Danio rerio: one gene and its partner. The protein of the gene in region 1 purifies or fractionates together with the protein of each later gene. This does not show direct contact. Links are inferred from orthologs where the notes say so. Each region holds a gene or a part of one and is shown in the gene's direction. Other genes may lie near its edges.

Evidence for each region.
Region 2: the proteins of txnl1 (region 1) and ube3a purify together in Homo sapiens (affinity purification with mass spectrometry; 3 studies listed by BioGRID and IntAct, with this or other methods). This does not show direct contact. The link is inferred for Danio rerio from reciprocal best matches to the Homo sapiens genes TXNL1 and UBE3A.

Annotation. Positions count from the first base shown.
Region 1 is NC_133196.1:1,369,246-1,373,073, forward strand, and holds part of txnl1 (thioredoxin-like protein 1), read left to right. Parts: intron 1-874; coding exon 875-1,048; intron 1,049-2,027; coding exon 2,028-2,150; intron 2,151-3,608; coding exon 3,609-3,678; intron 3,679-3,828. UniProt on the Homo sapiens protein: Active thioredoxin with a redox potential of about -250 mV.
Region 2 is NC_133181.1:41,328,952-41,332,779, forward strand, and holds part of ube3a (ubiquitin-protein ligase E3A), read left to right. Parts: intron 1-1,780; coding exon 1,781-3,027; intron 3,028-3,110; coding exon 3,111-3,255; intron 3,256-3,828. UniProt on the Homo sapiens protein: E3 ubiquitin-protein ligase which accepts ubiquitin from an E2 ubiquitin-conjugating enzyme in the form of a thioester and transfers it to its substrates.

The DNA of each region.
Region 1 (3,828 bases):
TTGTAAGAGCAACAAATAATAACTCGACTTCTAGTTGATCATTTAAAGTGTCAGAAGGTGGATTTCTCTGCTGGATCATCTGTTGATCTGCATCAATCATCACCAATACTGCAGAAGACCTGCTGGAACCAGCATGGAGTAATATTCTCACAAAAATCAGTCAAGTTTGGTGAAGGAGAAATCATGGTTTGGGGTTCATTCAGTATGGGGGCGTGCGAGAGATCTGCAACATCAACAGCCTGAGGTATCAAGACATCTGTGCTGCCCATTACATTACAAACCACAGGAGAGGGACAATTCTCCAGCAGGAGCAAGCTGCTCCAGGATTGGCCAGCCCAGTCACCAGACATGAACATTATTGATCTGATGAAGGAGAAGGGGTTGAAGATGAGCACAAAGACTCTTGTTGAGCTCTGGGAGTCCTGCTGAACGCTTTCTTCTTCATTCCAGATGACTTTATTAATCAGTGATGTGAGTCATGTCAGAGATGTATGGATGCAGTCCTCCAAGCTCATGATGGAGTCAGACACAATATTCATTCTGTCTCCACTGCAGCAGGACTTTATATTCTATACTGGACATTATTTTTGTTCAGTGATGACACTTTAGTCTGAGCAGAGTCAGAGCTTACTGTCCTCATCAAATCAGTCAACATCAAGACATGATCAGATTTTAAGTTATTACTTAAGTTAATACTTACTAAGACTTTTGTCAGGTAGTGTATGTCAGCAAAAAAAAAAAAAAAAATATATATATATATATATATATATATATATAAAAGTATAAAAACTATAAAAGTATCTCAGTGATGCTAGAATAACACTGGTAGTGTTAACTAAATGTATGTCTGTGTGGCTTTTTTCTCGTCTCCTAGGCAACAGCTGCCGCCAATAATATCTCAGCAACACCGACGTTCCTGTTTTTCCGAAATAAAGTGCGTGTGGACCAGTATCAGGGCGCAGACGCTTCCGGACTAGAGGAGAAAATCAAACAGCACGTGGAGAACGATCCAGGCAGCAACGAAGACTCCGATATTCCTAAAGGATACGTGAGTTTCAGCCAACCAATCCTGCACATTTAATGAAACTCCCTGAAATTCATGAGTGTAACCCTGTAGTGTGCCGTTGGGTCGTTTTCATCCACTCTGGGCTGTTTTTTAATATTAATTTGGTCACAATTTCCTCTGTGTTTCAGCAAATGGATTATTTGTTTTTGCGGAAAAACCTTATTTTAAAACATATTTTGAAAAAACAATACACTCTGCACATCTTCCACCCTTTGGTTATGTTTGGGGCTGTTTTTACCCCATCAACTTTTATTATGATCACATTTATTGATTGCAAAGCCATGACAGCATATAATCATGCATTCATTTGTACTGTTGATCATCAGTTGCGGTGCAAAAAAAGCATAGTTTCTGTCTTTTATATGTTTTATAGTGTGTATATAGTGTGTATGAGAGAGTAAGAGAGCTCTTCAAAGGTTTTAGAAAATAAAAATATATATAAATATCTAAAAAATAAATAAATAATCTCTCATAAGTGTCTTTAATCCATATAATATACAGTACTGTGCAAAAGGCCACCAGTATTTCCAAAAAAAATGAAGGGGTAAAGGGGATTATTTCTATATTTTTCTGTAGGATGTCAGTTTGAAATATAGATTTACTCTTCCAAACATTATTTTGTCATTATATGTAATTCTACAGTTTAGGGTTGTCACAATACTGGAATTCGGTACCAATTAATACTGAAATTAAACATTTGAGCGCTGTTGATCATGTCCTTAAACACTGCTGATTGGCCATTGTGTTCATGTGCTCAACAGAAATGACTGTGATTGGCCGTGAAGGTCATCAGTTTACTGAACTCACCACGGTTTACTGAGTGTAACCACAGATACCGGCACACTGGAGCGTTTTAAAGCTGCGATTCATCAGCGGATCGCTCATATGTCAGATTCTAGACAAACCAGCTGATCAACGTGACTATGTGTGTGATGTTGTGTTGATGTTGTGTGTTTCTCAGATGGATCTGATGCCGTTCGTGAATAAAGCAGGTTGTGAGTGTCTGAATGAGAGCGACGACTGTGGATTCGACAGCTGCTTAATCAAAGACTCCACTTACCTGGAGTCAGACTGTGATGAACAGGTGAAACTAAACTCTGCTGACTCTGTGACTTTAACACTTCAACTTATTTTTGTCATTTGAAACCCACATATCTATAGGGTATATATTTACTGCTGGTGTTTTCCCCTACCGATAAACTTCCAGTGAAAGATTAATGCGACTATTTTCAGTTTCATAAGGTTCTTTTTAAAGCATCAGTGTTGTAATGTAATTTAATAATAATCAGTTGAATAGACTTCAGCATTCATTTAGCTGTTCAAGAGTAAAACGAGATGAAAGATCGTGTGAACACAAGCGCCGTCAGGATCAGCAGGCAAGCACAGAAACTCCATTGAATATACTGTGGTAAAGTAAACATCCATATTTTAAAGACACGGCACTGATCAGTGTAATGTAATGCAGTGCTCCTTGTACATTCTGAAAGCAACTTTATATCCTATGTCAGTCCGGAAAATCAGGTCTTAAATGTGGTGATCGTTTTTTTAAGAGCATACAGTTCACCAGAAGCGCTTGAGCTGGGTTACTGAACATTAAAGTCCTTCTGCATATACACTATTACAGGGGTCTCAAACTCAATTTACCTGGGGGGCGCAGGAGGCAAAGTCTGGGTGAGGCTGGGCCGCATAAGGGATTTCACAAAAAAAAAGTCCTCAAATGTCATTATTAACAGTTTTAATTATTTCTTCTGAACATGAAGTGTCCTGAACATTAACAGAACATTGAGTGAAGATTATGAACAGTTCTTCTGAACATGGCATCTTTTGCCTACTTCTTGCTGCCAGAGACTTGACAGCGCTTCTTCTCACAAATCTGAACCACATTTGGCTTTAGAGCGGACGCAGTTGAGACCCTCAGTATGGATTGAAGATGATCATCATTAAGTCTAGACCTGTACTTTGACTTATTGAAGTCCTAGGGAAAAAAGTGGGGGAACTCACTCAAAACTTCCATTCCCTCACCTAAAAAAAGGCGTATATATGTATAAATAAAACACCCCCACCCCACTCCAGTCACATCAGTCTGTACCAGTCTGTATCTACCTATAATATATATAAGATGCAGGCTGTAGCTCGGTAGGTGGCAGGCTGCAGTTAGGTAGCTAAGTGGCAGGCAGGGGCGGGAACAGCTTGGTTCTGGCCGGCGCGAGTTCCCTCCTAACACTTCCCGCCCGTCACAGCGTCTAACAAAGGGGCGGGGTGCGTGGTGACGTCACCGACATCCCCGCCCCTTTGTTTACACGGCGGGCGGGGAATGCCAGTGACCGCTGTGTACGGATAGAATCTGATTCTGTCAGTGTACAGCGGTCGGCGTGGGCCACAAAATATTGCACTGAGGGCCGCAAATGGCCTGCGGGCCGCGAGTTTGAGACCCCTGTTTTAAACAGAAAGTAAAACCGTAATGTGTGTTTATTTAAGATCAGATCTCATGTGCTGTATAAACTGGATCTGCAGTGTTGATGAATCTGTGTTTTACTTTCAGCTTCTGATCACAATGGCCTTCAATCAACCTGTCAAACTCTTCTCCATGAAACTGCTGTCTGCTGATTTTGGTAAGACGTGTTTCTGTCAGCCGATCAGTCTTGTATTTCCAGTCTGTGGTCATATATTCCGTTCCAGCTGTAAATCGACTAATTATTAGAGGTGCAACAGACTCCTCACACTTCGGTTTTACGTTTTGGCTCCCCAGAAAAGCTCTGTTT
Region 2 (3,828 bases), on another chromosome or scaffold:
AAAAGCACCACAGGCTGCTATATGAGGAGCGACTTGCTAAAAAGTCAACTACAAGTAGGGGTGTCAAAATTAATTGTTTCTTCGGTGCACCACGATGCAGATGCATTCAATTTGGTATTGGTTCTGTAGTAATCATAACCAGTTATTGTGTACTGACGTCATTTATCTCATATGCTTTGAGACCCTGCTATGTAGCGGTAGCTTACTATGGTGAGGGAGGCAAGTGCGAGTATTTAAAACGCTCCAACTACTTAAAAACAAAGAAACTGTGCACAATTCTCTGCATGCGTGTTTACTGGACAGTCTTTCACTGACACTTACAGCAGAGACCCGTTTCACTGTTATGGAGAAACTGAAGGGAAACACATTCTCTTTCTCTCGCTGTGGACCTTTAACCTGCTGTCATGAGGTAGTTCCCTTTCCTCTTGGCTGTAACAGCGATACTTCTGGATACAAACATAAGCTTTTGTGCAGAGTGAGTTTTCTTCACTGCATCTATCATAGATCAGTTGTGATCGCTGCTGCCGTTTATCAGTGTTATTCATCTGTGAACAGCGCCAGACCATTAGAGCCAATCGCAGCCCTTTCTATTAAGTGCGTGACCAGTCATAGGGGTGCAAGAAAGAACTCCTAGCGAGCTCAGAAAGCGAGCAGGATATTTATATTTGTTTATTTGCTATAAATGCTCATGACGTTCTGTGCATACTTGAGTTTTTAAAGGTACAGTTTATAAATCTGACTGTTTGTATTAAAGGACAAAATTGTACTACAAATATGATATAATTATAAACATATTTGTACATTTTAATACAAGAATTGCTGTGCTGTGCAGAAAATTTAAATTGTTTATGGAAAACATAGTCGATGCGATTGAACTGAACTGATGGCATGATATCGAATTTAACTGAATCGATGGCATGATAATTATTACTGAACCATGAGACCATGGAGGTTCACATCTGAAGGTGTTCATGTTCCTGAGCAATGTATCTAAAACAATGTGAAGACTTGTGCTCCTGTCTTTACGCTTCTCTCCTGACCTTCAAAATATAATTGGCTGAATCCTTGTGATGCTTAATTAAGATCGTGTGTAAGGTAGAATCGAGATCACAATCCTTTTTCGATTAATCGTGCAGCCCTAGCTCCAACACAGTAGTTTCTGCACTGGAAGTTTCTAGTTAGTCTGAAGACCATGATTAGCTGGTTAGGTGTGTTTATTAGAGTAGCAGCTAAACAGTGGCTCTTTAGGATCAAGTTTGGGCAACCTTGCTTTGAGAGATGGTAGTCTGTAGCCTGTCTATGCTTGTCCTTGGTTTTTCCCCAGCTCTGACCCAAATCAGTGCAGAATGTCATATTTGTGACAAAATGTGCTAAACGTCTGCTATAAAATGTGAATAGAATAACATGATATTGTAAATAATGGTATTGTAAATGGAAAAAATGACAAATAAAAACAGCTAAAATGATTCAACAGTCAGTCTGATTAATTTTGAAATTGATATCCAATGTCTTTGTTTGTGCAACCTTTTACCAGGCCAGTTCTGGGCCTAACTTTATTAAATTTGCTAAAGAGAAAAAATTGCTTTACAATTGTAAGTAATATTTCAAGTATATTTTTAATAGATGGACAAAGATGCTCAACATTATTTCTTAAGCACACACTTAATACTTAAAATACTTACATTCTTTATAGCAGGATGGATTCTGTTTGACTGCATTGGTCTTTTAACTGTGTCTTTGACTTTCAAGTGTTTTACTATGTTTTTTTTTTATTTGGCAGATCTGAATTTCTTGACTGAGGATAAGGTGTATGAAATCCTGAGCATCTGCAGTGAGACAGAGGACTATTCTCCTCTAATCCGTGTTATTGGTCGGGTTTTCTCAAGTGCAGAGAGTCTAGTCCAGAGTTTCCGCAAAGCAAAACAACACACCAAGGAAGAGCTCAAGTCCCTTCAGGCCAAGGATGAAGACAAAGATGAAGATGAGAAAGAAACGGCTTCTGGTTCATCCACAGCAATGGAGGTGGAACCAGAAGCTTCAGCATCAAGTGGAGACGGGTCATCTCATGGGGAGAACAACGTCCAAAAGTTGAGTCCTGTAGAAGTTTCTGTAGACATTGATGCTGTAAGAAGAGTGTACGACAGATTATTATCGAATGAGAAGATTGAGGCAGCTTTCCTCAACGCGTTAGTCTACTTGTCGCCCAACGTAGAGTGTGACCTCACCTATCACAATGTGTACGCCGCTGACCCTAATTACCTGAACGTCTTCATCATTGTGATGGAGAACAGTAACCTCCACAGTCCCGAATACTTAGAAATCGCCTTGCCACAGTTCTGCAAGGCCATGAGCAAGCTACCTCTTCCGGCTCTGGCCAAGCTTGCACGGTTGTGGTCGCAGTACGGTGTGGACCAGATCCGACGTTTGGTCGAGACTTTCCAGCAGCTTATTACCTACACGGTCATCAGCAACGAGTTCAGCAGTGATAACCTAGTCAATGAGGATGATGGTGTGGTGGCAGCCACCAAGTGCTTGAAAATCGTCTACTATGCAAACGTGCTGGGCGGCGACCTAGACACGGATCACAATGAGGAGGACGACGATGAACCGATCCCTGAGTCCAGCGAGCTGACGCTGCAGGAGCTGCTGGGAGAGGAGAGACGCAATAAAAAAGGCCCTCGAGTGGATCCGCTAGAGACAGAAATGGGCATCCGTGCCTCGGACTGTCGAAAACCCCTCATCCCATTCGAGGAGTTCATCAATGAACCACTCAATGAGGTGCTGGAAATGGACAAAGACTATACCTTCTTCAAGGTGGAGACAGAGAGCAAGTTCTCCTTTATGACCTGCCCTTTCATACTTAACGCTGTGACTAAGAATCTGGGCCTGTACTATGACAACCGGATCCGCATGTATAGCGAGCGCAGGATTACTGCCCTCTATAGTTTGGTGCAAGGACAGCAACTAAACCCTTATCTGCGTCTCAAAGTGCGCAGAGACCACATCATAGACGATGCTCTTGTCAGGGTAAGTGCCAAAAAGCTCAGATGATGAATGCGGTTTCAAAGAAGTGAATAATTTATATAAAATAAACATGTAATTGGTTGTAGTTGGAGATGATTGCCATGGAAAACCCAGCAGACCTGAAGAAACAACTGTATGTGGAGTTTGAGGGTGAGCAAGGTGTAGATGAGGGAGGAGTATCCAAAGAATTCTTTCAACTGGTTGTAGAGGAGATCTTCAACCCAGATATAGGTAATAATCATTTGTTTTTCCTATTTGGGTTTTTCAGTAGAGCTTTTGGGGTTCTTTCATGCAACCTAATGTACATTTTAGATTCACTTATCAAATAATTAAAACTGACTAAAAACATCTGCTCACTTTTGATTGCATAACTACGCCCCGTTTACACTAGTGCGTTTTAGATCGAAAACGATCCGTGTCCACACTAGCGTATCACCTTGTGTCTCCGAACATATCTCCGTCCACACTACGCCACCAAAATCGTATATCACGTGACCATTCGCACACTCAGGGCATGCGCATTCTGGTGTAAACAGAAAGCATGCGTCTCACTTGGCATTTGGTTATTTGGTTAACAAACGCCGGTTGAACATTAAACGCGATGGCAAAGAAAGCAAGAGAGGTATTTTTGTGGACAGATGACGAGGTCGAGTTGTTACTAAACATACCAAATGAATAACTGCACAATGATGCCTAAAACTGAAAATAGTGCAAACAACGCTCCCATTTCTGTGCCCATGTTGTTGTTTACAGTACTGTCTTCCGGTAGCGTTATAGTCATGTGATTGACTTGACGAATAAGGG